Notamacropus eugenii: one gene and its partners. The main gene of each other region encodes a partner of the protein of the gene in region 3 in a complex. Links are inferred from orthologs where the notes say so. Each region holds a gene or a part of one and is shown on either strand. Other genes may lie near its edges.

Evidence for each region.
Region 1: the proteins of RAB8A (region 3) and RAB3IL1 are in contact, whole or in part, in a crystal structure (PDB 4LI0), measured with the Homo sapiens proteins. The link is inferred for Notamacropus eugenii from reciprocal best matches to the Homo sapiens genes RAB8A and RAB3IL1. Residues at the interface, in NP_005361.2 of Homo sapiens: Lys10, Phe33, Ser35, Phe37, Ile43, Asp44, Phe45, Lys46, Ile47, Gln60, Trp62, Thr72, Ile73, Thr75, Ala76, Tyr77, Arg79; in NP_037533.2 of Homo sapiens: Arg104, Glu108, Leu111, Glu112, Thr115, Ala116, Phe119, Glu120, Ala122, His123, Arg127.
Region 2: the proteins of RAB8A (region 3) and RILPL2 are in contact, whole or in part, in a crystal structure (PDB 6SQ2), measured with the Homo sapiens proteins. The link is inferred for Notamacropus eugenii from reciprocal best matches to the Homo sapiens genes RAB8A and RILPL2. Residues at the interface, in NP_005361.2 of Homo sapiens: Ile41, Gly42, Ile43, Asp44, Phe45, Lys46, Ile47, Lys58, Trp62, Phe70, Ile73, Tyr77; in NP_659495.1 of Homo sapiens: Leu135, Leu138, Arg139, Leu142, Gln143, Arg145, Asn146, Lys149, Ser150, Leu153, Glu157.

The regions. Positions count from the first base shown.
Region 1 is NC_092873.1:13,632,975-13,642,919, reverse strand, and holds the start of RAB3IL1 (guanine nucleotide exchange factor for Rab-3A), read left to right. Parts: upstream 1-6,115; 5' UTR 6,116-6,791; coding exon 6,792-6,820; intron 6,821-9,945. UniProt on the Homo sapiens protein: Guanine nucleotide exchange factor (GEF) which may activate RAB3A, a GTPase that regulates synaptic vesicle exocytosis. Promotes the exchange of GDP to GTP, converting inactive GDP-bound Rab proteins into their active GTP-bound form.
Region 2 is NC_092875.1:38,796,703-38,806,135, reverse strand, and holds the start of RILPL2 (RILP-like protein 2), read left to right. Parts: upstream 1-4,867; 5' UTR 4,868-5,293; coding exon 5,294-5,659; intron 5,660-9,433. UniProt on the Homo sapiens protein: Involved in cell shape and neuronal morphogenesis, positively regulating the establishment and maintenance of dendritic spines. Plays a role in cellular protein transport, including protein transport away from primary cilia.
Region 3 is NC_092875.1:59,136,999-59,147,369, forward strand, and holds the start of RAB8A (ras-related protein Rab-8A), read left to right. Parts: upstream 1-6,591; 5' UTR 6,592-6,706; coding exon 6,707-7,049; intron 7,050-10,371. UniProt on the Homo sapiens protein: The small GTPases Rab are key regulators of intracellular membrane trafficking, from the formation of transport vesicles to their fusion with membranes.

The DNA of each region.
Region 1 (9,945 bases), on a different chromosome or scaffold from region 3:
ATTAAAATCCATGGTCACTTGAAGAGATCAGCTTAGCCATCTGAACTGAAAAACACAAAGTAGATGAGAAATACTTACTGCTTTGATAACAATGTGCAGCTGAACGAGTAGCCCATTGAGGAAATCTACCAAGTACATTTATTCCAGACTTGAATTACCCATCGACAGGTCAAATAAGCAGGACAAGGAACTGACCAGAAGGAAAAGAGCAGGCTGGATCACTGTTGGGAAGTCCTGGAGAATTGTCAGCAGTCCCAAGCTCCTGTCTACTCTAAAGGACCATATTTTCAGCACCAGTATTTTCCCTGTCCCCCACAAAGTCTTACTCAGATGTCTCGTCAAGACATGAAAGGCGACTTTGGAGTCTCAAAGTCAAGTGCAACTTTTCTATCAGGTTCTTCTTGTGTTTGTCCTTCGTTTTCAAATCAGAAAAATAATGACATGACTTGCACTTGACTTTGTTTTGAGTGAGGGAGGGCTGTGCAAGGTCACCATCCTCACTTTCTCCTCCTGAGTCATCTGGATCCAGTGACTAGTGACATTCATCAGGATGACTGGAGTTGGCCCAGGATACAATGGGAGACCTTGGCCTTTTTCAGCTAAGGCCTATTCAGGTGCTCACTTAGAATGAGGTGATGCCCATTCAGTGAATAGGCCTCTTTAAAAAGTAATCAGGGAATGGTCCCTTTAATGAGCAAAAGAAAAAAATTTAAGTAAATCAAGGTGGGAGGGAAAGAGCAACAATTACTATTGATAATCACTGTGAAGCCAGGAGGGTCCAGAAAATAGCCATTAAGTGGAGTTTGGGCAGGGACCTATTGTCCAATCCATGGGTTTCAAAGTACACTGGGTTTAAGGTTTGGGGAAACACAAGAAAGAAAGAGAGAGAGAAAGAGGGAGGGAGGGAGACAGAGAGAGAGAGAGAGAGAGAGAGAGAAATATAGTCAGTAAACACCAAGTTATATCAGGTTCTGACATGATATGAAGGCTTAAGTATTAAGTATTCTCTCAGCAATGTCAAATAACTGAATCCTCAAATACCATTCTCTTAGAAGAATCTGTAATAATGGCTAACATTCAGCAGCATCTTAAGCACTCTTTCTCAGTATATATATATATATATATATATATATATACACACACATGCACAATAATGTCATTTGGTCCTCCCAACAACCTTATGAGATGTTACTATTATTTCCATTTTACAGATGAAGAAACTAAATGAGACAGAGAAAGTTTAGGTGACTTTTCCAAGGTCACACAATTAGTAAGTATCAGAGCCTTGGTCTTCTTGACTTCAAGCTCAGCACTCTGTTCACTATGCTAAGACCAACCCAAAGATCAGTGTCGAGAACTTGGTAGGGGTTAAGGACTACAGGAACACTCATACATTCTTGGTGGAGTGGTGAATTGGTATGTCAATCTAGAAAACAATTTGAATTATGTGAGAAAATTACTAAATGGTTCATACTCGAGCCAGTGTGGTGCCATTGTGGCAATCCTCAATGGGATTATGCCCCCAAGAAGGCCAAGGACAGAAAGAAAGTTCTCATATATACAAATATTTTCATAGCAGCACTTTTGTGGTCACAAAAAAATGGAAACAAAATGAGTGCCCATTGCTTGGGGAATGTTTGAACAAGCCATGGTACATGCATGGAGTAGAATATTATTGAGTTGTAAGAAAAGACAATTAAAGGAGATTCTGAGAAGCATGGGAATCTTTCAAGCTACTGATGCAGAGTGAAACAAGTAGAATCAGGAAAGCAAAACATTGTAACTTCAGTGATGGAAGTGAAAAGATCAATGAAATAAAGCCTAATGAACATTATTGTAATGGCCCATTTTGGCCCTGGAGAAGAAACAAGGAAATGTATCTCCCTCTTTTGACTGGAGAGGTGAGAGATTATGGGTGCAGAATGTTGACCACACCATCAGATAAGGTTATGGTGAGAGCTGGTTTTCTTTGTTATAAGGGAAGACTCACATGATTGTGGGCATGTATGTCTGGGGCTGGGAAAGAGAAACAGCTGGAAATGCTTGGGCTATAAAAACACAAGGATAGGTGTAGGTATGAACTTGAGAGTTCATTGATATGTGGAACTACTAAAGAGAGAACTCTCTTTACCAATGCAGATTGCAACCCCTCTACAAATGATCATTTTAGAGAGCTATCTGAGGCACTGAGAGATTTAATAGCTTTCTCATGTGTCAAGGGAGGGACAGTAGGAATGAAAGGCATCACTTTAAACTAAAATTAAAGTCCCTTGGTGGATTTGAGGGTAATGTATTTCCAGTTCACCTTTGCACACGTGAGATGTGTGAGGTATTTAGGGAGGACCAGCACCTCTGGTGGGAGGACTGCTCATCCACCTTTCGTGTACGTGTCACCCAGCTCTCACCTGTGACTCCAAGAAGCTGGATGGACTAAACCAGGTAACAGGTAACTGATGGACCTCAAACCCATTGGTGAGTTAGGAGTGTGTCTGCCTCAAGCATGTGAAGATTTTTCCCAGTGGAACGGGTACAGGAGAATGATTTGTTCCAGCGGCCACGAAGGTGACTAAAGCACATGCGACGGAGAACTTAGCATTTGTTTGGACATGGAAGGTGCCAAGGTCACCCACCTCATCCTGGGCCATAGCCATCATCCTGACTTTTGCCCTGCCACTGGATTCTGATGACCCTAGAAGAGAGACAACTTTGTGAGGCTCTTCCTCACTTAAATCCACTTTATACACAAGTCAAGGCATCACCCCAGGATATCATTGATTTTCTTTAGCAATGACGGACAAACAAGAACGGTCTCTACAAAAACTCAACACAACAAAAGTTGATTTTGTATCCAGTATGAGAGACAGTGTGGTATGACCAATAGAAGCTCACCTCTAAGACTGGAAGACGCAGGTTCAAGTCCTAATTCTGAGAAGTACTGGCCGTGTGATCCTGGCCAAGTCCCCTATTCTCTCAGTGCTCCAGAAGTTGCAAAAAAGGAACCAACCTGCTTCAGTGGAGGGAATTTCCTCACTTTGGAGTTCTTCATACCAGTGATGTCACAGATTATTTAATCTCTCACCTTAGACCTCTCCAAATGCACAAGATTCTGTTATCCTCCATGACAATGGTGGGCCATTGACAGACTGGGAGATTAACTGTAGCTGAGGTTGCCCTGAAAACCCCAAAATCTTAGGTGACCTTGAATGACTTAAAGGCATAGTTCCTTTCCTAAGGAGGAGAGGACTAAGATGGGCTTCTATCAGCACCAGGGGTTACCAGAGAGTTCACAGATCCATTATAATAAGGCTTATGTGCACATCTCGACCTTTGCTGGCCTTCACAAACCTTTAGTGACTTCCTGTTACCCATGAGATGAAGTTCAGACTCCTCACCCTGGCCTTCACTGACATTGGAAAGAGAGTCCAGTGCAGGTGGCACCTTCTTTAACAACACATATAGGTAAGCAAAGCATTGAAACAGGCTGATATAAGAGGGGTGAAGGGTAGGAGAGGTCCAGGGGGTGCTTATGGGTGCAAGTCAGTGCATGGGATGATACTGGACTTGGCTGATGCGTCAGTGCCTTCTGACAGACTGTCTTCCCCCTCTTTTTCACTCTTTGTGATGAGGTCTAGCTCTCTCAGAGGATGGAGGGATGTTGGGAAAACGGATGTGATATGAAAACCAGAGATATCAGTGACATTTTCCTAAAATATAAAAACACACAGACAAAAATAAAGCTAAAATTAAAATAAAAGCACACATTACAAGAAATATGCAAATTAGCAAAAAAAGAAGAAAGTAAGGAAGGAGGAGAGAAGGAGGGAAGGAAGGAGGTGAGAAAGAGAGAAAGAAAGAAAACATGGAATCACCCTCTCTCTAATCTCAAAGTGTTTGCTTTCAAAAGCCAACCTTCCTCAGCTAGAAGCACCCTCTGAGGTCAAGTTCAGACTTCTCATTTTATAAACGGGCGGTGGGGGCTTTGACTGGATGAACTCTGAGGCCCCTCCCTGCTGTAAATCTATGACCCCACAAATGGACTAGGCTGCATTTGGGAAATGGTACATTGCCTTCAAAGAGCAAGGGTAAACAAAGGACCATCTGTTGATCACTAACAAGAGTCAAAATCAGGGCAGGGCAACTGGGATTTGTCTCAGGGCATCAGATTTAGAGGGCACAGAAAACACTTGCAGTAACAAAAGAGGTGAAATGTGTAGGGCTCAGCCAGCCTGAGAGCATTTCCAAGTTCCCTCACTCGGTACCAGGTCCTCCCCTCCCTCAGTGTCCTGAGGCCCAGGGAGTTTGGGAAATGCTGATTTAGGGAGCCTCATACTCCCTCTTCTTTCCATTAGGGTGCCAAGGCAGGAGGGGAGCTTTGTGAGGATTCTGGGCTTCAAGTCCCTGCCTCTCCCAGAGCGACCACTGGAGGGTGCCTTAGCCCCAAAGGGCCCTCCTGCTGGCCCCTTGACCTTCCTTTTTTTCCTGAGAAAAAGTCTGTGTTGTGAGGGCAAGCTGAGCTCCTTTAAGATGAGTTGGGGAGAGTTAGGGGTCCGTGACTCTCTCATTCTTGTTACAGCCTCTTAGGTGGGTGGTGGAAAGAGCTTTAGACTTAAAATCAGGGGACCTGCCAAGGAGTGTCAGGAAAGCTACTTCCATGCCTCCCCCTCCTTTTTGAGCTAGGGGATGGGGCCCACAACATTGCCTATCATATCAATTTTTTTCCAATGAACTGATTAGTTTTTGTTGAATTTTTTTCTTTTCTTTTTTTAGAAAATAAATTCCTTGTTATAGGGAATAGATGGTAGAGGGAAGGGGAGGGATAGAGGAGAAAATCCAGGTGATATGAAGACAAAAAAGTAATAAAAATCTATTCTTTTTTTTTTTAAGTTTTTCTTCTCTGGGTCTCAGTTTTCTCATCTATAAATTGGGGGACTAATTCTAGCTAGGGTGTGATATTCGAAGAGTACTTCTATTAAAGTCAAGGGAACAGAGTTCGTATTCTGTGTATGAGCCTTATTCCCCCACACGGTGTTGGGCAAGCCCTCTCACCAGTGGCATGCACCTCAGTGTCCCCATTTGTAAAATGGGATTAAGGAGTTTTGGACTGCTGCACTGGTCTTTTGCTGACCTTGTCCGTCTTGACTTCTGTTCAGTCTTTGATGCTGTCAACCACCCTCTTGGCTCCCAGGTACTTCCTCCTTCCTTATCATATTAATAAAAGTATTATTTAAATATTAAATATTATTAAGCACATTAATGAGCCCAATAACTTATTTTATTTTATAATATATCATAAATCATGTTTCAAGGATCTCATTAGCACAGGTGCTCAATTTTTATATTTGTATATATTATATATATTCATATTTATACAGACTGGATAAGCTGTAAAGCCTAACCCTTCTGAGATTTAATGGACAGTTTATGAGAGTAATGGGTTGTGCCTGAAAACATTCTCTTTCTCTAGCCTACCTGGTAGTGAGACAGTAGTATAATAGTGTTAAATTAATTAAATATAATAGCGATTTTGTAATCACCTGTCTAGGGAACTCCCATTATGGAAATTCCCTTTGTCAATACAGAATGACATAGTCCTAGAGAGAGGCCTTAGAGGATTGAGACTGACCCAGGAAGAGCCTAAGGGACTTGTCCAAGGTCAACAGGCTAGCAAAGGGTCACAGAGTTAAAAATGAGGGATCTTAAAGGTCATGTGGAATGTTTTCTTCATTCTAAAGATGAGCCCAGGTATGGCTTTGCAAGATCAAGGTTATAGGTCACAGGTGGTGAGATTTGAACCAAGAGCCTCTGACTGCAGACCCAGCATACTTTTGATTTGGTCTTCCTGACTCCAAGGCTAGATACCTTTCAAAGAAATCAAGATTAAGTTAATGACATTATAACAATTAATATTATTATTTAGATTGTGATAGAAACAGGCTGGACACAGAGCTTTAGACAGTATGGACACAGCAAACTACAAGTCCCAGGGAGATAACTGTAGTTGGACAGTGTGGGGCTCCAGCCCTCAGAATGCTGACATCATCATACACTTAGGGTAACCACAGCGACAGGGGCGCATCACAGTGGTCTCCCAACAGCCCCCCAGGCCCTTGGACACCAACCCAAGAGCCATCTTACTCAGTAGGCTTAGAGCAGGACCCCCTGTTGGAGGTGGGCAGAGGAGGGAGGGGCCCTGGGGGCTGACCCACCCTGACAAAACCCCCAGGGCCTAGGAGAGAGGTGCAGAGGGGTTGGTTGGCTACCTGAAGACTGAAGGGGCCCCTCTGTTCCCTCCTGCCTCAGAAGGTGTCCATACCCTGCCCACTGAGTGAGGAGGGTGAAAGCAGTTGGAAAGAAAGAGATCCACCTGTTTGGGAGGGGTGAGAACAGAAGGCTGGAGAGAGCTGGCTGGCTTAAGAAGGGATGAGGGACCCTTGGACCTGGGTCCAGGCCTCCTGAGCATCCAAAGACTCTTATATCTGAGGGCCTAGTCTGAAGGGCCTCCAGCACCACTAAGCTGGACCACCCCCACACTCCATCCCACCACTATAACCATGGGAAAGCAGGGCAAGAAACTGATTTCATCACCTCCTGGGCCCAGCGACCCCTGAGCAAAGAATTGGGAGAGACCTCTGGGGTGTTTATTCAGATGGGCCTGGTGGACTCTACCTGTGCACCATGAAGTAGACCCCAGCAGCTGTAGCCATCCCAGCAGAGGGGCCCAGACGATCCTTGGCCTGGAAAAGAGAGAAGTGGACCTTAGGAGGCCGTGTGCTGACATCTCCCCAGGACCCATGGACACTGCTCAGCTGAAACCTGTAAGGTGAGTGCCCCACCCACAACCCACCACAGAGGCCAGGGCTTCTCACACCAGCCAGTCCAGTGAGGTTTTCTTCACTGGACCATAGATTAGAACTGGAAGAGACCTTCGAGGTCATTGATGAAACTGAGACCCAAGGATAGGACGTGATTTGCCCAAGGTCAAACAGCAGGGAATAAATAAGAGAGGCAGGGTTTGACCCCAGGTTCTTTGGCTCCAGAGATAGGATTCTTTACCCCATACCACCCTGCCTCCCTTCTTGCCTAAGGTGCAAAGAAAACGACATTGGGAGGCTGGAGTTTCTGCCCCCTAACTTGATGTGACCACTAGAGTTCATTTTTTTATAGCATCTCTCTCTGCTCTCCTAGGAGGTTGGGAGTCCAAGGGTTTCTTTTGTTTGGTCCAGACAAAGGTTTTATTGAAACTGCATGGAAAAGTCTTTCTTCTGATAAAGCTAGGGAACTCATCTATAACTCATGGTCTTGCCTGGGGTGGGGACTAAGAGCTTAAATGAGCTGCCTAAAGCCATACAGCTAGTTATGTGTTAAAAGCAAGATTTGAACTCAGGTCTTCCCAGTTTCAAGGCTGGCTCTCAGTGCAAGGATTATTATACCCATTAGGCAGAAAAAGCCCATTCAACAACAGATTCATGCTTAACCAACAATTATTATGCATCTACTATATACAAAGCCTTGTGCTGGACATTGGAATGGGGAAAACCTTTAGAGAAAACCCAGAGTCTCTGCCCTCAGGAAGTTCTCCAATAGTGATGAGTTCCATCAGAACACAGAGGTAGGTAATACACAGTCTCTGCCAGTAGAATAGTAAGACTTGGACCTGGGAGGCATCCACACCAAGGGCTTCTCCATCTCTTTTGTGTCCTGATCTCCTGGGGAGCAGTCTAGTAGTGATGCCAATGAACCTCTGCCCAGTCATGTTTACAAATAATTTAGGGAAATGCTAAATTTGAGTTAAAGGTTAGGGAAAATATGTATGCCCCCACCTTCCCCAATCTGCATTCACAGATCCTTTGATATCTATCCACGTGGATGGGGTCCCTAGGTTAAGAATCATTGACTAATCCAACCCCATGATTTAGGGAGCAGGAAACCGAGGCCAGGGGACAAATTTAGACTCTTATGAAGGGAAAGATGTGAGGAGTGAGGGGTAGGGACCAGAGGAATTCCATGATGCGTTAGCTTCCTTTGGGGATAAGATTACTAGGCTGGTAGAGAGGGGAATTTTATGACTACATTTTATACCTGGATTTTAGCAAAGTTTATGATAAAGTCCATCATACTAAGAGATAGGGATTAGGTGAGGATAAAATCAGTGGTATACAGAACTGATTGGATGGCTGGACTCATGATTCCATGTCACTGCAGCTTGAGGTCTCTCAGTCTGGCACTGGGATATATAATCTTTTGTCCATGACAGACTTGTATGAAGGCATAGATGACCTGCTCATTAAATCTGCCAATGACACGAAGCTGGGACACCACTGATACTGAATGACAGTCAGGATCCAAAAAGATTACAACAGGCCAGAGCTTTGGACTGCCTGAAATAAGATGAGATTCAATAATGATCATTTTAAAGTCTTGTAATTGGGTACAAAAAATCAACTTCACAAACATAAGATTGGTGGGGAGCCTGGTTAGATAACAGTTCAGAGAAGGACCTGAGGATTTTAATGGACCACAAGTTCAGTATGAATCAGCAGTGGGGGGAAGCAGCCAGAAATGCTCATGCAGTCTTGGGCTGTACCATGAGGAGTGCATCTTCCAGTGGTTGGTCCCACTGTCCTCTACCTTTGTCAGATTCTATTCCAAAATCCAAGTTTAAGAAGGAGGCCGATTCATTGGAGAGGGTTCAGAGGAGAGTCAGGGTTACAGAGGGAAGGGTTTTGAATCTGTTGGAGGAGCTGAGGGATATCTCAGGGAGAGGAGGGGCTTCATATATTTGAAATATTTGTCCCAGAGGGCACAGCCAATAGCTATGAGTGAACATTGCAGAGAGGAATCTTTGGGCTTGATATCAATAAAAACGAAGTAATAGTCGACATTTATATGCCGCTTACTCTGTTCCAAGCACTGGGCTAAATGCTTTACACGTATCATCTCTTGACCCTCACAATATTCTTGAGAGATGGGTGCTATGATTATTCCCATTTTGTAGTTGAGGAAACTGAGGCAAATGGGCTTAAGCGACATGCCCAGGGTCACTTAAGTAAGTGTATGAGGCTACTTTTGAACTCAAGTCTTCCTGACTCCAGGTCCAGAAAATCCTCCTAACAATTAGCTGTCTAAAAATAGACATGGTAGGTGATGGGCTCCCCCTCCTTGGAGGGGGAGGCTGCAGGACCAGTTGGTGGGTATGTTATAACAGGAATTCCTTTTGTTTATGGACTGGTGGATTAGGATTAGGTGGCCACTGAGGTCACTCTCAGCTCTCGAATCCTGGGATTTGGGGACTAGGGGAGCTCATAGGCATGTGAATATTTGTTTGGTTTTATCTGCCTGTTGTATATTTCAAACTCACTGTCCCATAGACATCCTTTTACTAAAAAATGTAAAAAAAATTTTATTTGGAAGCAATTGAGATTGAGGAACGTGACTAGGGTCAAGTGTCTGAGGCTGGATTTGAACTCAGGTCCTCCTGACTCCAGCCCATAGACATCTTAAATTCAACGTGTCCAAAACTGGGCTCATTGTCTCCTCATCCCCCAAACTGCCCTTCCACTGGACTTCCTGTTTTTGTCAAAGGCATCACTGTCCTTCTGATCCCCCAGGCTCCCGATCTCCTGATCTCAGGCTCCCTTATGTGTTCCAGGTCTTGTTTTTAGACCTCTTCACCTCTTAAACCATACCCCTCATCCCCTTTCCTAGATTATTGAAGCAGTAGCTTCTCATTTAGTCTTCCTACCTTCAGACTCTCAGCCCACTCCTTTCTCCACACATCTGTGTCCATGTCCAAACAGCTGTTAAAATGACATTCCTAGTGTACAGATCTCACCCTGTCATTGCTCTCCCTCATTAAATACCCATGACTCCCTATTACCTCCAGGAGCCAAAAGAAGTCCCTCTGACTTTTAAAACCCTTCACAACCTGGCTCTAATTTTATTATT
Region 2 (9,433 bases), about 20 Mb from region 3:
ACATTTGGGGTGGTTACTCCAAATCTGTGCATCCTACGTTTCCTTTGTGCTGGCTCAATTCTACTTTACTCATAGAGCACAGCACCCTTTCTGATGTGGGCACGCCATGCTGAGTGGTTCTGTGTCAGTGTCTCCCATGTTGTATAGTCAAAGTCCAAAGTTCTTGAGAGAGACCTGGAGAGTGTCCTTGTATCGCTTCTTCTGACCACCATGAGATCACCTGCCCCATACGAGTTCTCCATTAAATAGTCTTTTTGGCAAGTGTACATTTTGCATTTGAACAATGTGGTCAGTCCATCGGAGTTGCGCTCTCTGAAGCAGAGTTTGAATGCCTGGCAGTTCAGTTCGAGCAAGGATTTCAGTGTCTGGTACCTTATCCTGCCAGGTGATCCTCAAAATCTTCCTAAGACATTTCAAATGGAAGTGATTCAGTTTCCTGGCAAGGCACTGTGTTTTAATAAATGCTTGTTAAATTGAATGGAGCTAGACTCCTAGAAGAAGGGTTAGAAAATGCCTGTTACAAATTTGATCTTTTGGAATTGGGCAAGCTAGTGCTCGCTATGGATATCGGCTTATTCTTCCACCAGAAAATAATAGAATGGGACAAGATGATCTATAGTGTGCTTTGAGCTGTCATGTGCTGTGGTATGACTGATTTATTTAGAGGTGGAAAATGAGGCACACAGAAGTTAGGTGACTTGTCAGGGTCACACAGTAAGTTTCTATGGCAGGAGTTGAGCTCAGGACTTCCTGTCTCTGTGTCTCACTCTCTATTAGCTATGCCATCTAATTGCACACAAATGTGTGAGAATGTCTGGATGGCTGGATGGATAGAGAAAGCATTTATTAAACAGCTACAACATATCAGGCACTGTGTCACAGGCTAGAGATAAAAATACACAAACGAGATAGTTCTTGCCCTCAAGAACTGAACATTTTAATGAGGAAGCCAGCCTCCATAGTGAAATGGCAGCTAGGGAAGGGAGTTGTGGTTTGGAGGGTCACAAGGAAGGGGGAGTGCAACCATAGGGCAATCCATTATCATCCCTTTTCCAGAAGAGATCCCTTTTCTGTTCACAGACCAAGAGGTGGAAAGGGAACAATGTACAGCAATGATCAATCAGAGCTGATTCAGGTAGATGGACAGATGGATGGATGGGATGGGAAGCACAGTCTTTTAGTGGACTGGATACAGTGAATCAGTTGAGTTTACTCTCCTTCACCAATCCTGATCAAAGTCCCAATCAAACAAACAGTCAACAAGCCTTTATTAAGTCCCTAATATATGCTAGATACTATGCTAAGAACTGGGAGACACAGAGGAAAAAAGAAAAAATAATCTCAATCCTCAAGGAATTTATAGCAAACTCCTCAAGGCAGAGTGCCAAGGCTGAGTAGATTAACCACAATCCCATATACTATAGCATGCCAATGCTGTCTATAGGGTTTTCTTGGAAAAGATACTGGAGTGGTTTGTATTTCCTTCTCCAGCTCATTTTCCTGGTGAAGAAACTGATGCAAACAGGGTTAAGTGATTTGCCCAGGGTCACACAGATAATAAGTAACTGAGGTCAGATTTTGAACTCAGGTCTTCCTGACTCCAGACCAGTGTTCTAACCACTGAACCACCAAGTTGCCTCTAGTTAACCTAGGAAGGTACTTTTGGGTATTTAGAAACTGCTAGGTGTTAGGCCCACTGCTTTATGTCCAGAGCACTGGACTTAGGGTCAGGAAGACCTACGTGTCAATCCTACCTAAGATCCTTGCTAGTTCTTTGACCCTAGGCAAATCACTTGCCCTCTCTCAGCCTCAGTTTCCCCACTGTAAAAAAAAGAAATAATAATAACACTGCCTGGGTAGCTAGGTTGGCACAGAAGATAGAGCACATTACATAAATAGGAGGTGGCACATATGGACCCACGTCTTCAGAAGAGCTCTTTCCATTCTACCCCAGGGCCAAGCAGAACAGTCTCCAGCAGCTTCATGCATTTCAAAGGTTTCCCCATCTGTTACCTCCTTGATCCTCTCAACAACCCTGTGAGGTAGCTACTCCAGGTATCCTTCATTAATTCCATTTTACAGATGAGGAAACTGAGGCTGCAAGCTGTCTTCAAACGCAGGATAAAAGAGCACTTAATTGGATATGTAATAGAAGGATCTGAGTGGCATCTAGGCACTGTGGTGTTAAGGCAAGTAACATAGCACACAGGAGGGCTGCTAGCACAGGTTCACTCTTGATCTGGTCAGACAGAAAAGACACTAAGACAGCTTTGAAGGGGTTAATAATCTTACTGTATTCCAGTCTAGTCTTCTCACAAGAAGGTTGTCAATAATGGGAGCACAACTCCTATAGCATTACCTAATCACCCTTCTTGAAGACCCCTAGGTCTTGATTGGGTCAATCAAGACAGACACAGCTTGTGCACTCCCCTCAATCCCCAAAAGCTTCAATGGGGGCCAGTCAAGGCACACAGAGAATTCTAGTTTGTCCATTCAACCCTAAGGGTTCCCCATTCACTGACCAGCGCCCACCTGCTTTATAGGGCAACAGACAAAGGATGCATATTGCCAGCAAAAGCCTCACAAGTTTACATCACCTCATCCCTGTATCTCACTGTGCAGTCACAGTAGATGTTTATAATTTAAGCACAAATGTTTAAATTATTTATCATTATATAAAGTTGCACAAACATCATGAGATATTTTGAACCATAATTGTGAGAACTTATATCTAATACCTGGGAACAAGAGATTGTTATGACTATGGATCCTGGGAAACTGAACTCTAAGAAAGAATAACAAAAATCCACTTTACACATACTAAAATCCACTTTACTTACAGGATGACTCAGGGGACAGAGCGCTGGACTTGGAGTCTGGAAGACCTGAAGGCAAATCCAGCCTCAGAAACTTATTGGCTGTGGCAAGCTACTAAACCTGTCTGCCTCAGTTTCCTCATGAGTAAAATGGGGATAATAATAGCACCTACCTTCCAAGGTTGGTGTGGGGATCAAATGAGGTAATTTGCAAATCATTTGGAAAACTTTAGAGTGCTATATAAATGCTAATAATTATCATAATTGTTAATTATTATTAGATCCAGACCATGCCCTGAAGGACTTACAGCTTTGAGCTCTGGAACTCTATCCCTTGAGCCCATGTTTCTCTGATTAGTGAATGTCTCCCACATCCTACAGGTAGGATGGCTCTGGCCACACCCCTCATCAGTCCTTCCACATGGGACGTATATGCCTCTCCAGCTGAAACAGATATGTCAACTTCCTTTATGGATAGGTAGGTAGGTAGAGTATTTGTTAAGAATTTGCTTTATGAATGAATGAATGAAATGAATGAATAAATGAAAAAAGCATTCATTAAGTGTTGGGGATACAAAAAGAAACAAACAGTCCTTGCTCTCAAGGAACTGACATTTTAATGGGGGAGATGACCATGTGGAGGGTTCCACATCAGATGGAAAGGTCCCGTGGTCCTTAGACCAGGCATGCAGCAGCAAAGCAGATGGCATTGCTTTTTCTTTAATGCCATTTTCACTGATAAAGCTAAGTTAGTTATGATTCTGCTCACCATCCCTGTGTTTCTACAAACCAAAACACCAAACTGACATAATTACATTTTTGGAATAATCCTTTAGAATGGAAGTTTCTGGAGGTCAGGGACTATTTCCCTCCTGTACTTACATCCCCAGCACTTAGCACATTACTTGACACACAGTAAGCCTTTAATATTTTTTACTTTCATTCATTCTAAAGTTAGAAAAGACCCTAAAAATTATCTGATCCAATTGTCTTGCTTTAAAAATGAGACTGCCTTGATTGATCACTCTTCAGACATTCCCTGTCTCTAGTCCAAGCCTTGCCCCCAAAGCATCTACCCTTTGGCATATCAGAGAATCCCTGTGTCCAGTATGGGTTGGACTCCATGTCCTGGGAGAGCCCTTACACAATTCAGAGATTCTGGGAAACAGACTCCACTGGGCTTTAGTCTAGACCAGGGGATCCTACCCTGGAGACACCCCCAACCTTCAAGAGACTTAATGATATATTTCAGGGGATCTCTGAATTGGGTGGGGAAAATACATCTTTATTTTCATTAACCTCTAACTGGAATTTAGCATTTCCTTCAAATAAAAGGGCCCTCAGGCTTCACCTGGACCAAGGGGTACAGGACACACAAGAAGGTTAAAGACTCAGCTTCTTGATGAACTCTGGACAGCCCTCATTTTGTTTTGCCTTTCTTTGTATCACAAGGCTTTTTATATGGTAAAGCCTTAATTAAAGTTTTTTCACTCACTATCTCCAGCTCCTCATATTCTGAGAGGTACCTGTAGGACTGCCTTCCCATCAGAGAAGGGGAGACTAGAATTCCTGGTCCAGGAGGGCTGGAGGGAAATCTGGTGGCAAGACCCCGAGCTGGAAGTAATCTTAGAGGCCATCTAGCCCAACCCTCCTGTTTGACAGATGAGAAAACTGAGATCCAGACATCCACTGACTTGCTTAGTCACACAGCTAATAAAAAATAGAGCAAGATGTTCACTTTCCAAATACGGCACATTTTTCCACTGCACCTGGTGTCCCTTGATGACCCCAGAAGATGAAAATAACCTCCTCTCCCCCGCAGAAACCCAGATCACCACTCATATTTGAAAATAATAATTCTATGCCTGATCAGGCCGAGTCTGGGAAGGAAAAAACTATGCGTCCTCCTCCACTCCCTCACCATAGGAACCCAGGGGCCGCGTCCTGGTTACTAGGCAAGGAATAGCTCCTCCCCGTCTGCAACAACCCTCCACCCCTTACAGACGGCTTCTGGACTGGCAGAGGCGTCCTTAGCCCGGGTCTCATTTCCTTTAGGCCTCCAAACACCCGCATCCTCCAGACTTCCTTTCCAACTGGGGAGATTGGGGTGGGGGTGGGGCTGTCTCAGAATCCCCTCCTCCATCTGCCTGGTACCATTGTCAGGTCTCTTATCTCGCTAACTCCAGGGCTCAGCCTTGGCCCGCCTTTCCGTCCCGGACAGTTATTTTGGCCCATTTAACTTTGCTCCTGTCTCCCTCTAGTCCCACCTCTCCGACCTGCCCTGATTGGTCACTCCTCAGACATCCCATTCCCCCCGCCCCCCCCCCAACTCTTGCATTGTTGCAAGATTCTAAAGTCAGAGGAAGGAAGTTGTGTGTAATTGACTAAAAGGCCGGGGTTGTCACCAATAAAGTCTGTCTCCGAGAGGCCCAGGTCCGGAGGCCTGGAGGACCCGGAGAAGCAACAACTGGACCGCCATGGAAAAAAAGCCTTCTCCAGGGAAAGAGGAAGGAGAAGGAGAAGAGGAAGAGGAAGAGGAGGAAGAGGAGGAGACTGGTCCCGAAGGAGCTCTGGGGAAGAACCCATTCCAGCTGACAGCCGAGGATGTCTATGACATCTCCTACGTAGTGGGAAGGGACCTAATGGCCATCACTGGGGACTCCAAGGATGTGGCCACCAGGGTGACCCAGCTCCAGTTTAAAATCGTGCGAATCCTGGAGATGCTGGAGTCCCTAGTAAATGACTGCAATTTGACAGTAGAGGAGCTCAGGATGGAGAGGGACAGCCTTCGAAAGGAGGTGGAGGGGCTCAGAAGCAAGGGGCAGCCCCCAAACACGGAAGAGGTATGTACATACCATTGAGTTATCCTGTTTATATGGTTTTTTTTCGGGAGGCAATCGAGCTAAGAGCCTTGCCCAGGGTCACACAGCTACTAAATGTCTGGGGTTGAATTTGAACTCAGATCCTCCTGACTCCAGGGCCAGTGAGAGTGTATCCATGCTATCTAACTGCCCCCACCCACTGAATTTTTAACATGTACAATGTTTGAGGCACAAGTAGGGCAACTGGCATGGGGACTGGAGACCAGATCACACAAAGATCCATTGAAGAAACTGAGCATGCTCAGACTGGAGAAAATTTAGGGATGGGTGAGTGGACATAGGGCAGTCTATTAGCAATGCCTTTCCAGAAGCAATGTTAGTATGGATGGATCTACAGTTCATAGGAAATAAGGTACAGCAAGGATCATTCAGTGCTGGTGCTGGGATGGATAGATGGATAGATGGGATGAGAAGATGAGAAGAGAGCTTTTTCTGCTTGGCCTCAGAGGGCAGAGCTAGCAGTTTAGAGGGGAAATTACAGGGAGGGAGATTTTGATTCAATATGAGAGAGAGCTTCCTTAGAGCTATCTAAAATGGTGGTGTAGAGTCTGATGTACTGGAGGTCCTCAAACAGAGCTTGGACAATCACTTACTACCTGGGTGATCTTGGGCAGTTCATTTCCCTTCTCCAGGACCTCGGTGCTTTCATCTGCAAAATGAAGGTTTTGGGCTACCTGTGCAGCCAGCATGCTTCTTCCCCCTGCCCATTCCTTTCACTCCTCTTTGCTCAGCAGGGAGGATCTCCAGGCCCCTGATTACATTCAATAGCCCTTCCCGGTTTGCCAGTGTCCTTCTGAAAATACAGTGTCCAGAATTGAGCCCAGCACCCTATAGGTGTTCTGATTGTACGTGTGATTGTAGGTCTCATCCAGCCCTAATCATCTTCTATCAAGAAACACCGAGGACCTTGAAGGGTGTGCGTATATCTAAGCAGACTTCTAACTAGTCATTTTGATATCCCGGGCAGGGAGGCCCAGGCTTCCCTCTAACACTGCTAGGAAGGGAAGGAGCCCACTTAAGCTTTGGTGTTTATTCTTTTTTATTAAAATTTTTTATTAGAGCAAGGACTGTCTGGCTTTTGTTTTTGTATCTTCAGTACCATACATGGTGCCTATCACATAGTAAACACTTAATAAATGCTTTTCCATTCATCCATTCATCACTGATTAGGCGCCAAGCTCAGTTGTTTTCATGAACTGAAGGACCTAGGAACCTCTTACTTTCAGAGCCCTGAAGAAAGCCCTGATTTCCCTACCCTTCTGTGGGGGAAGACCTGAGTTGGGGCAGTTTATCTACGAAGGAGAACTGTGCTAGCTATATAGCCAGCACAGTGATGGGGCCTTAAATATCCACTCTACCAGTTTCCTGTGTGGATCAAGCTGGGCACCCCCATGATACAGCAGATGAGATGCACGTTCTGTAATGTGCATATGAGGCTGCCGGTCACGTATCAGAAGGAAAGTAATGTCAGAGAGAGTAGCTCTATTTATCTGAGCTTTTTGGCCAGCACATCAAAGAGGCCTTTGGTCGTCTTTGCTTAGAAGAGTCTTAAGGTGCAGACTTTAGAGCCTTCATGGGCAGGCTTGTAACTCCTGAATGTACCTGAGCTAGACAGGTCATCTGCTCAAAGTCCCTTAAAGAAGGGGGACCCACTACCTCCCCCACAGATAGCCCATTCCATTTTAGGGGAGCTCCAATTCTTAGAAAGATTTTTTTCTAACATCAAACCTCAATTTACTATAGCCCTCTGTTCTGCCCTCTGGGACCAAGGAGAGAAAATCCAATCCATTTCACACAGGACAGACTTTCAGATAGTTGAAAGCAGCTATCCTGTCCCCCAAAGTAACTCCAAGTCTCCCCCATTAGAATGTGAGCTCTTAGGATGCTCTCAGAAAAATCAGGAAAGACTTACATGAACTGATACAAAGTGAATGTACTGTATACAAAATAACAGCACGATTGTAAGATGATCAGCTCAGCAATACGATGATCCAAGACAGCTCTGAAGGACTTAGGATGAAAAATGCTGTCCTCCTGAGAGAGAACTGATGGTGTCTGCATACAGACTGAAGCATACTTTTTAAAACTTTATTTTTATTGAGTTTTTTGATCTGCGTTTTATTTCACAACATGACTATTATGGAAATGTTTTGCATGACTACATGTGTATAACCTATATCGAGTAGCTTGACTTCTCAATGAGGGGATGTGGGGAGAGAATTTCGAACTCAAAGTTTTAAATAGAAGGTTAAAAATTAATTTTTACATGCAACTGGGGAAAAATAAAACACAATTTAAAAAACTGTGAGCTCTTTGAAAACAGAGACTGTCCAATTTTTCCATTTATATAGCGAGTATTTAGCGCATTGCTCTGCATACAAATAAGCCCTAAGGAAATTCTTCAATCATTCAAAGTGAAACATGTCCAGTCTCTTCAGCTGATCAATTTACAAGGATTTATTAAGTGTCCACTATGTTCCAGACACTGTCCTAAGTGTTGTGGATACATCAGTTCTTTCTCTGGATTTGGATAGCATTTTCCATTATGAGTCCGTTGAAATTGTCTTAGATCATTGGATTGCTGAGAGGAGCTAAGTTATTCAGAGTTGATCATCACACAATGTTGCTGTTATTTTGTACATTGTACTCCTGGTTCTGCTTAGTTCATTTTGTATCAGTTCATGTAAGTCTTTCCAGGTTTTTCTGAAATCCACCTGATCATTCTTCCTTTCTTTTTTTAACATTTAAATTTATTGTTTTTCTAAACATTCTTTTCTTTTTCAATTTTTAGTTCCAAATTATCTCCCTCCCTCCCAGGTCCTTCCACCCCTACTGAGGAGATAAGCAAAAATGATATCACATTATTTCTTATAGCATAATAGTATTCCATTACATTTATATACCACAGCTTCTTCAGCTGTTCCCCAACTGATAGGCATTCTCCTCAATTTCCAGTTCTTTGTCACCACAAAAAGCGCTTCTATAATATAAGGTACATATAGAGTACCAAGGCAGATTTCAACTGATGATCTTATGGTATAGACTTGTGACCTTTGCCATTCTGGTTGCCATCGTGTAGGTAGGTCTCTAGTATCCTTCACTTGTGGAACGGTGGGCAGAGTGATGGGCCTGGAGTCAGGAAGACCTGAGTTCAAAGCCAGCCTCCTACATTTACCAGCTGTTTGACCCTGGGCAAGTCACTTAACCCTGTTTGTCTCAGTTTCTTCAAATGTAAAATAAGGGAGTAAAAATAGCAATGACTTCACAGAGTTGTTGTAAGGATCAAATGACTTGATAACTGTAAAGCACTTAGCATAAGTGCCTGGCATGCAGTAGATGCTTAATAAATGCTTGTTCCTTTCACTTCTTTCCTAATTGTAATATAATTAGGGACTTGCCTAGGGTCCCATAAGTCAAGATTTGATTCGGGTCTGATGAACCCAAGGTCAGCCCTCTTGGCAGTATCCAATACTGCCTTCTTCTTGCTTCCCTTGGAAGGTGAAATCTATTCTCTGGGTTTTGAGTTACACTGAAGAGACAATAAATTGATCCCACGCAGGAAAAAACATAGCTAACATTTTCATAGCTGCTTAAGATCTGCAAAATGTTTTACATACATGATCCAACTTGATCTTCACAATAGCTTTACTAGGTAGCTTCTATCTAAATTTTTATTGATATTTTTGTTTTGATACCATTTGCATTTCCCAAGATTATCCTCTTCTGGTAGTGTTC
Region 3 (10,371 bases):
TTTTTCCCCCCACTCTTAATTCCTACTAGAAAAACTTGCCCAGGCCAAAGAAGAGAACGTGGGCTTACATCAGACACTGGATCAGACATTAAATGAACTTAACTGTATATGAATCAAAAAAGAAGAATTTTGTTTGCCAGAAACTCAAGAACTCCATGTCCCTTTCCCTTGTAAGAAGTTTCTTCTATTGCATCTTTTCTTTACTGGAAATGTCAATCAAATTATGAATACCTGACCAATATTTTTTATCAGAGAGGCTTTGGGCACCAGTTAAATCTAGTTTCTCCTTTCAGACAGCACACTAAAGCTTCTAGTTGAATTTATCTTTAAATTGCATTTTTTTATCCTTAAATTGCATTTTTTTTTCCTTAGGAGGGCAGGGTATTTAACTTAGACCAGAATCTCCAAGACTGAGGGCATTCTGTTACACTCTAGGCAATAGCAGGGACCCCAACTGAGCTACTGGATCATGCCTGGGTTGATTTAAGAACACAAGCATTCCAAGTCACCCTGAGCCTTTTTACAGAAGGGCAGGGACCATCTCATAAAATGGGTGGGGACTTTCCATCCATAGTGAAAAGGTTGTTTTAGGGAAGTCATAAACCACAAAGAATGGCCTAATTATTGTGGCCCTTCCTCCCACTCCATACTGCAGGGCAAACATCCTCTGAACATTTACTGAGAAAATACTCTTTAAAGATAATCGACAACATCTAGACTTTTTTTCTGGATGAATACTTGAGGTTCTGTTTTTGTATTGGTCCAAATATAGATTGCTTGTATAAAAACCCAAATGTGGCCTACAACTGATGTTACTTTCACTGTGTGCCTAGACTTTTTCCTTTAAAAGAGATCTCATTTTAGGATTTTAGGTGACATCAGCCTATATTTGGACCAGTATAGTATTTTACCAACTTCTCTCATTTAGGAATTTATTCTACAAAGCAACTGAAAATTTCTTTCCAAATAAAGAACATTGTTTGTTCTTGTTCGGTTCCCTGATTTCTGTATGGCTGAGCATCAGCCACAAAGTCAGCCAGAAATTCAGTGGAAATTCATATGGCAGCCTGTCTCTCTGGTGGTTGTAGCATGGTAGTGCTTCCCATCGTTGATTCCAGCCCTTTTCCGTGCCACTTTCTGTGTCCATGAATCTGTTGGCTAGAAATACAAGGCTAAAGGTGCCTCACTGTCACTAAAGGAAAAATAAAATTCTAATTGTCTTAATTTTATTTTAGACTGCCATAGTATGGCAAATGGAAGGTTGTTTTATTTTAGAGGGATTTTAATCCCTATTTTGGGGACCAACTTAATAAAGACCAAAAACCTCCTGATTGAACTGGATTCAAAGAATCAGACAGTGCCTATTTGTTGTTGCTAAACGGTTTCCTTGTGTACAGCTCAGTGCTAAAACATTCCTTATTCCACAGTAGTGTGGAATAGATATGAAGACTCAAGTTTACAGTTGTGATTCAAAACTACCCTGCTTCTAGCATATAATCCCAGTCCTCATTCCTATTTATTAAGCATCACACTACCCAGAAACACACTAGGAAATGTGAAGCTGAATGAAACCAGAGCTTTTCATTTAGATCTTTACCAAATGTATCATATGTAATAGTATCACCTTTTTCTAGCTTTTGGTCAAATAAATTTTTACATAAACTATTTTGAGTTTTTGAATGTGGTGTGGTATGTATGTATGTGGGTGTGTGGTGGGGAAGACACGGAAATGCTGAATTCTTAAATCATCAAGGGACATTCATAAATGGAAATATCAATTATACTCATAAACGAAAACATATCTATATCCACTTTTCCTCATGTAAGAGCCATTTCAACTAGGTAACCACTGAAAACTGTAATAATAAAGTATACCAAGAAGGCTTTTTTTATATGTAGATCTTATAAACTAACAAATTACTTCTCTGTCTTCATCATTTGGACACTTATTCTACGTACTACCAACATGATAGGCCCAATATGCATTACTTCATCCTTTCTCCAAACTTTTTTTGGAATGCTTACAAACCATAGGGGTACTAAGAAGACATGGTCTCCAATGGAGTTTATTATGTTCTGGTAGGGGAGAAATACCCGGATACAAATAGTAATAGAAGGTAATGTGTGGTAAGGGAAGGGAAAATAAGAGTTCAATTAGATGTGTCAAATTCCAGTTCTTACAAAGAGCTGTTATCTTTGGTGTAACTGGTTTTGAATTGAAAACAGGCAGAGCCGCTAAATGTTTACTGGAGTGGTCTGGGGAATGCTTTCCATTTTAATTCTGCAAATGTGTCCCCTGGTCTGTGAAAGGTATACCTAACACAAGTGACAAGAGTTGTAAAATTGGCCAATTCCAATAAGATGTGATTTAATAGGACTTACATGGAAAATATTCCACTAAAGATTAAAAAAATAAATCAACCTCACAAACAACTACAACATAGGGAAGGCATGCTAGGCAGCAATTCATCTGAGAAGATCTCTAGATATTTTTTCATGGACTGCAAGCTCCCTGTGAGTCAACACTGTGATATGGCAGTAAAGTCATGCAATTTGGACTGCATTAAAAGGCTTAGCAAACAACAAACACCAGCAAAGATCAGAGATAGGAAAATGTACCTCCCTTCTTTGCAGAGGTGGGGCACAATGGATGCAGATTTTTTGTTGTTACAAGGAATGGCTTTCTGGAAAAAGAAGTAGGAAAAGAAATATTAAGAAATGTAGGTGATGTAAAAACTAAAGATACCAGTACTTTAAAAAAAAAAAAATACTGCTCTTTGTGGATATAGGAGACTATAGGCGTGGAACATTCCATATATCAGACTTGACTGATTTGTTAGTTTTGCTGACTAGCTTTTTTTTCTCCTTTAGTCTTTATTTTAAGGGATAGGTCTCCAGGAAGAAGGAAAAAGGAGGAACATATTGGAAAAGCTAGGTGATGTAAAAAAAATATATCAATAAAAATGTTTAAAAGAGACAGGTTATTTTTGTCCAGGACTGTGGAAAGTGATAATATCAATCAACAATTATTAAGCATTTACTGCATTCTGCTCTAAACAGATCTAGACTACTGTGTTCAGTTTTGGTGTCACATTTTAGGAAGAAAGCTGGAAAGCTTCTAGAAAAGGGTAAAATTATAAGAAACCTGGATTCATGCCATACAAGGACTGGTTGGAAAAAAAGAATGTCCTTTTCTCCCCTCTTCTCACACCACTCAGATACCTTCTGCCACTATCTACTCTTGCCTCACTCTTGCCAAGGTAAATGCCTCTACATGCACAAGTGATTCCATTCCATCTTACCTTCTCCAGTGGATTGCCTCCATCATCCTCCATCTCACTAATACTCAATCTCTCCCTGTGTACTGGCTGATTCCCCAATGCCTACAAATATCTCAGTCTCAGCAAAAAAAAAATCACTTGATCTGTCCAGCCTCCCTATCATCCCATCTCTCTTCCCTTTTGTAGCTTCAAGTCCTTGAGAAGACCACCTACAACTGAAGTCTTCATTTCCTTTTCTCTCATTCTCATAATTCTATAATCTGGCTTCCCACATCATTTTATTGCAACAGTTCTCTCCAAAAATAATGATCACATCATGCCTACTAAACACAGTCATACCCCAAAGTTCTTCTAACTCTCTACTATTTTGCATGGTGGCCAGCTCCCATGGGTTCAGTCATCATCTCAATGCAGATGATTCTCAGGTTTATCGAGTCCTAACCTCTCTCCTGATTTTCATTATATTTCCAACTGCCTACTGGACATCTAGAACTGGATGACCCATAGACATCTTAAACTCAATACGTCCGAAACTTAATTTCATTATCTTTCCCGCAAACTGCAAACTTCCTTGGTCAAGGACACCACCATCTTTCTAGTCACCCAGACTTGCAATAGAGATGTCATTCTCACTCCCCACATCCATTCTGTTAATAAGTACTGTAGAGTCTACCTTTACATCTCTCATATACACCCCTTCTCTCCTTTGATATTGTCACCACCCTGCTCTAAGTCCCTATCACCTCACACCTGAAGTATTGCAATAGCCTCATGCTTGGTCACCCTGCCTCTGACCCCTCCCCACTCCAGTCTACACTTATTCATCAAAGTGATCTTCCTAAAGTGACAGAGGGCTCTCCTCCCCTTCATTCACTCTCTAGGCTAAATATAAAATCTGTTTGGGTTTCATAGCCCATATCACCTGATCTCTTCCTAGCTTTCCAGTCTTATTTCACTTTACTCTCCCAAAGAGTGACTCTGGTCTCCTTACCAGTGCAGGCTCCTCTGGCTGTTCTTCAAACAAAAAGCTCCTTCAAACAAAAACCTCCATATCCTCAAAGATCAGTCTTTTCACTGACCATCCCCCAGATCCAGAATCCTTTCCCTCCTTGCCTCTGCCTCCTGGCTTTCCCAACTTCCTTAAAGTCTCATCTAAAATCCTACCTTCTGCAAAAAAATCTTTCCTGGTGTCTTGTTAATACTAGTGCCTTCCCTGAAAGATCATCTCCAATTTCTCCAGTATATATCTTATTTATATATAGTCATTTGTACTGTTAGATTGTAAATTCCTTGAAGGCTGGGATTGTTTTGTCCTTTCTTTGTATTACGAGTTTAGCCCAAACCCTCCATAGACACTAGTAAATGCATACTGACTTTACAAGATATAAAAGACAGGGTGGGGCAGCATAGGCAAGTGCTGGCCTTTGAGCTAGGAAGACCAGGTTCTAGTGCTGCCTGATGACATACTGATTGTGTGACTCAATTTCTTCGTACTTTAGGCAACTCTCTTAAGACTTTAAGTTAGGGAGAAGGTGCCAACATGCTTGGTAGACAGTGGCAGAACTCATTTGGGAGTTCCTTATATCAATGAAACCACAGGGTGTAAGAGTCTGATACAAAAGCAGGGTAATGGTGGAAGAGGGTATGGGAGAAAAGAAGGAGACTGGTGTAATCTGTAGACAGCTAGCACAACCTTTGTTCAGTTACAGCCTCCAGTTCAAACTGGCTGCTTCACCATAGGCAAATCGTTTAACTCTGAGCCCCCTCTCTAAGACTTCAGGGCAGAGCAGATGTCTCTTTATAAATAGGAGTTTCTTCCCTGCCAGCTCATGATACCAATGAAATCACAGGTTCCATTAAAAACCAATTGGGATGGCAACAGGGACACAACACAATTCACCCTTTCACCTTCAAATCAAATTCCACTTCTAGCTAGCTGTCCCTAGTGGGAGGGAAGGGGCAGGCAACAATCTCTCTCACATAGTCATTTGTTTTGCACCTCTCTAATGCACTTACTATGGAATGCTATACATTTTTCAGTTATGTGTCTATGTCTGAAACTCCTTTGATTTGAAAAAGGAAAGTCAGATTGCAGAGAGCCTGCAAGGCCAACGTGTACATGTCATCTGGTAGGGAATGGGCATCCATTGAAGCTACTTGAAGAGGAGAATGACACTCCCCTGCTCTTTTTTTTAAGCCACCCTGGAAGCTGAAGCTCTGAGAATGGAGGTGTGAACATTAGATAGTGGGTCATAAAGAACTGAGGGAAGGAAGGAAGGAAGGAAGGAAGGAAGGAAGGAAGGAAGGAAGGAAGGAAGGAAGGAAGGAAGGAAGGAAGGAAGGAGAGAAGGAAGGAGGGAAGGAAGGAAGGAAGGAAGGAGAGAAGGAAGGAAGGAAGGAGAGAAGGAAGGAAGGAAGGAAGGAAGGAAGGAGAGAAGGAAGGAGGGAAGGAAGGAAGGAAGGAGAGAAGGAAGGAGGGAAGGAGGAAGGGAATATCTGACTTCAACATTCCCCTGGGATGAATTTACAATCCCTAGAGGCAGCCAGGCCTGGCACTGAGGCCCAGGCTCTCAGGCCGCCTCTCACACGCCATCTATTCGCTGTGTGACCCTGGGCAGGTTACAGAACTTCTCCGCGCCCCAGGGGGCTTTTACGAGAATAAGCTACAGAGAAGTTGCTACTGCGTCGTGGAAGGAATTCGAAGAAAACAATAAGGGGAAGGGAAAAAAAGACAGAACAATGGACGAATGAAGGGACGGACGGATGGATGGATGAACGGGCGTATGGACGGACGGACGGACGGACGGACGGACGGACGGGCGGACGGGCGGACGGACGGGCGGACGGGCGGGCGGGCGGACGGGCGGGCGGACGGACGGGCGGACGGACGGACGGACGGATGGACTGATGAACGGATGAATGACGCCCTGGGGGGGGGGGCCTCGCGGAGGAGCCTCGGTCTCCGGGGTCCGCGGGTTGGAGGTGCTGCCGGCTGCCTCAAGCCAGCGGCGGGATCCGCTTCCTCCCTCCAGACCCGGCGGCGGCCGAGGAGAAGCCGACCGCCTCCTGCCGGCAGCTTCAGTTAACGGCTGCGGAGAGCGATTAACGGCTGCTCCGGGCTCCAGAGCTCCCCCTCAGCGCCACGCCCCTCGCCCGGACCCCGCCCTTTCCTCTCACGTGACTCTCCTCCCGCGCCCCATAGAAGGGGCGGAGCCTCGCCTCGGGGCGCGGGAGCCGGGCTAGGTCTCCCCCGCCCAGCTGAGGGCAAGGGCGGGGTCTCTGGGCTCCGCTCGGGGAATTAGCGGCCCCCTCCCTCCCCTGTCCCCGCCTCCACCCCCTCTCACTCCAGTCCCCATTTGAACCTCGAGTCTCTATCTCTGGCCAATCCCGAGACCAAGCTGTCGAAGTGAACGCGAGCTCAGCCAATGGGAGGCACGCTCAGGGTTGCTTCCTGCTTCGTCTCCCCATCTTCTTCCCGGAGCCCGCCGAGGGGGCCTGGGGGCCGGCGAGGGGTGGGCGGCGGCCGCCGTGACGCGCCACGGGATCTCGGCCAATCGTGGGCGGGCGCGCCGCAGATTGACAAGGGCGGCGTCCAGTGTCGAGGCGCCGCCGGCACTTCCCGTCGAGGAGGTATAGTGTGTAATATGGCGAAGACCTACGATTACCTGTTCAAGCTACTGCTGATCGGGGACTCGGGGGTGGGGAAGACCTGTGTCCTGTTCCGATTCTCCGAGGACGCCTTCAACTCCACCTTCATCTCCACTATAGGTAGCGGGGCTGGGAGAAGGGGCAGAGAGGCGGGGCCCCGGGTGGCTGGGAGGGAATGGGGCCCGGGACGGCCGGCAGGGCCCGGAGGGGACTGACGGGGAGCCACGGTGGGGATGAGAGGGCAGCAAGGGCCGGGGAGCGGAGCTGACCGGGAGGGAACAACAGGAAAACAGGGGGTCTGGGCTGACGGAGAGGGGCCTGGGGCTTGGTGGGGGGCGGGCTGGGAAGGGAACCACGGCGGGCCGGAGTGTCTGAGAGGGAACCAGCAGGCACTGAGACAACAGAAGCTACTGGCAGGGGAAGGAGAGCACAACGGAATCAGGGGGGTGGTGGAGGAACAGCCCCCACCCCATCTTTCATGATCGGGGGGATCCTGGCTGTGGGAGGATGGTTGGGACGGGATCCGGGGTCCAGGTAGCTATGGGAAGTGGACTACCTGCCTCCAATTTACCTCTGACTCCCAGGTTCAAAGGCTGACCGTGTGGCCAGCCAACCCAGGGCCAGGAGGGTCTCACAATGTGGCTTTTATGTTGCTTTCCTTAGGGTTCTCCCTCCCATGTCCCCACGAAGCTAGGGGCACACTTACCATTCCCATCCCCCGCCCAGGGATGCTGCGACCTGTCTACCCCTAGGTTCCCCAGCCTCTGACACGATGAGAAAGCCGGCATCCGAGATCCATTAGTCCAATTCCGAACCGCCCGACCCTATTCTTATGGCTTGGGAAGCTGAGGCCCAGAGAAGAGGACTCATTTACCCAAGGTCGCAGAGAGATGGGTAGTCTCACATTGCCTAGTGACCTAAGACTGCTGATTCTTTCCAGGTCCCCGAAGGTTTCTTAAGCACCTTACAAGGCAGGAATTCTCAGTCTAGAGCTCCTTCTGCCAGTAGCTAGTTTCAAATTGAACTCCCAATATGCGCACCACAGCTCTGTTTCTATTAAGTGTTTTGGCTATGAAAGTGGAAATAGAGCCTGGAAACCCAGAAGATGGTCACCAAGTACCACTGCAGTTGTGTTTCCCTCTCACTTCCCAACTTTTCCCTTCTGACTTCCCTGTTTCCAAAGAGAGATCACTAGAAGAAGCAGTAGCATATAATGGAAAGAATACTGGAAGACCTGGGTTCTACTTCTGGCCCTTATGGTTAACTCTGTGACCTTGAACAAGTGATTTCCCCTCTCTGGACTCAGTTTTCCCATCTGTAAAATGAGGGCATTGGACTAGATGTTCTTTCTGGTCTCTAAGAATAGCTCACATTTGTATAGTCACTTTTTGGTTTATGACATTTGTTGAGAGTAAGTAACCTTAGTTCCTGTTTTCAGCCCTCTCATTATTATAAGGTTAAAATAGTCCTGAAGCTAAGATGAAGTGATAGTACCTTCCTTTGTGTCATCAAAAGTAGATGACTGTCAGATAAAAGCACCCCACTGCACCTTAATCAGCTCCAGCCAGACTTCCGTATCTTTATGCTCTGAAAGTTCAGCTGTTACTCCATAGAGGAACTTTGAGTTTAGAAAGCACCTGCATTGACAGTAAATGAGACTTGTTGAATAAAGATGTGAATATGAAAGGTATTGAATAGTGGGTACTTATGGAGCTGCTGGCAGTGCTCTTCCAGCTTTTAGAGTAACTTGGACTGAGCTGGTTCCATTCAAAAATTAGCTGAATGGAGAGGCAGTGTAGAGCCTTGGAAAGATTGACTTTTTGAATCAGATGATCTGGACTTTACATCTTGGTTGGTTCTGCTGTTTAACTACCTGTGTGACCTTGGGGGAGTCACTTTAATTGTCTGGGTTTCTTCATCTGTATACAATTAAATTCAATAAACATCAAGTGCCTACTACTAGCTGGCGCTGTGCCAAGGGATAGGGATACCAAAAGTGGTAAAGGAATTGAACTAGATGACCTTTGAGGTCCCTTCCAGCTGCAAAGCATATTACATGACAGAATGGTCCCTGCCCTTTTGGAGTTTCTGAAACTTCCTATTCTTAGAGGCTTGAGGTCTTACGGAAGGGAGTGCAAATAGCTGGTTTAGTGACTTTGTCCCACTCTGAGCATAGGTTTCTTTCTTACTGATTCATTCTGGTTTCTTTAAAACCCTCTGAGAAGTGGAAGTTAAAGCCTCTTTACTTCCCTGCAAATCAAAAAGTAGTACATGTGCGGTAGTAGCATAGCTAGTTCTTAACCTAGACCTTTATTGTATTTACTCCCTGAATATTTCACCGTAGAAGTTTTCCAGCTCCTTACCAGTTCTACTGAGATCCACTCTCAGGTTTTCATTTAGGAATCCTAGTGTTTTCAAGCAGCAGTGGGCTTTGAGATCATTTCATTCTAGTCCTTCATTTCACTGATGGAAAATCAGTTCAAAGAATGACTTGTTTCAGGTTACCCAGAGAGTAGTGGAAAAGCCTAGCCTAGACTCCACATACTGATACTCCCACCTCAACGAAGTTTAGTTTCTCTATTGTCTTTTATCTCTGTATTGGCAGGAAGGTTTGTTACTTTGTAATCTGGGGGAAGAGGGGAGAGTGGAGACTGAACCTATGATTTCTGTAGTTTTGTAAAATTCCCTAAAAGCAAACTCTTTCCACCCATATAGATTGACGTTCTGCATTTTATAGTCTTAGAGAGTTGCCAGGGCCACTGAAAAGTTATATGACTTGTCCGGGGGCACACAGCTGCTTGGTGACAGGCCCACTGAGGCGGGATTCATACCCAAGTCTTACTAACTCCAACGCCAGCTCTATCCACTGCACCATCTTGTCTCTTTACCTTGTAATTAGGCCTGATTCTTAAGCCCCATAAATTACACTTCTTAATTAAGCTTATGGTATTAACAAAACCAAAGAAAAGTATGAAACAAAGTGTTGCCTTAAGGGCAGTACAAATTCATCACCTCTGATCACATGTCCCTTTAAATTCTTGTCACAAACAGTGAAGAGGAGTTTAATTAGAATCAGCATCTAGCAGTCATACCCTGGAATATAATGAAAAGCTGGATGAGGGCAGTTTGCTTCTAGCAATATAGTGTGATAGTCTTTTCTATTGCTTTGGACTAATTGTCTGCTGTGGTTTTTTGCCATTATTTTATTACATATACTTTCTTTTGGTTACCCTTAAGACTCTTTATCATTTAAAGCTTGGCTCTTTGTCCTCTTAGAATCAATTCTCTTCATTCAGGCTCTATTTCATATAGCCCCACAGGGACTTTTGTAAATGTACAGTTTGGAGAGCTGAGTTAGGGATGTGCAGTTGGTTTCACTGAGGTGAAAAGGAGGCTTGGAGGCTGTAATGAAAACACATGACAAAAGCAGTAGTGAACTTCT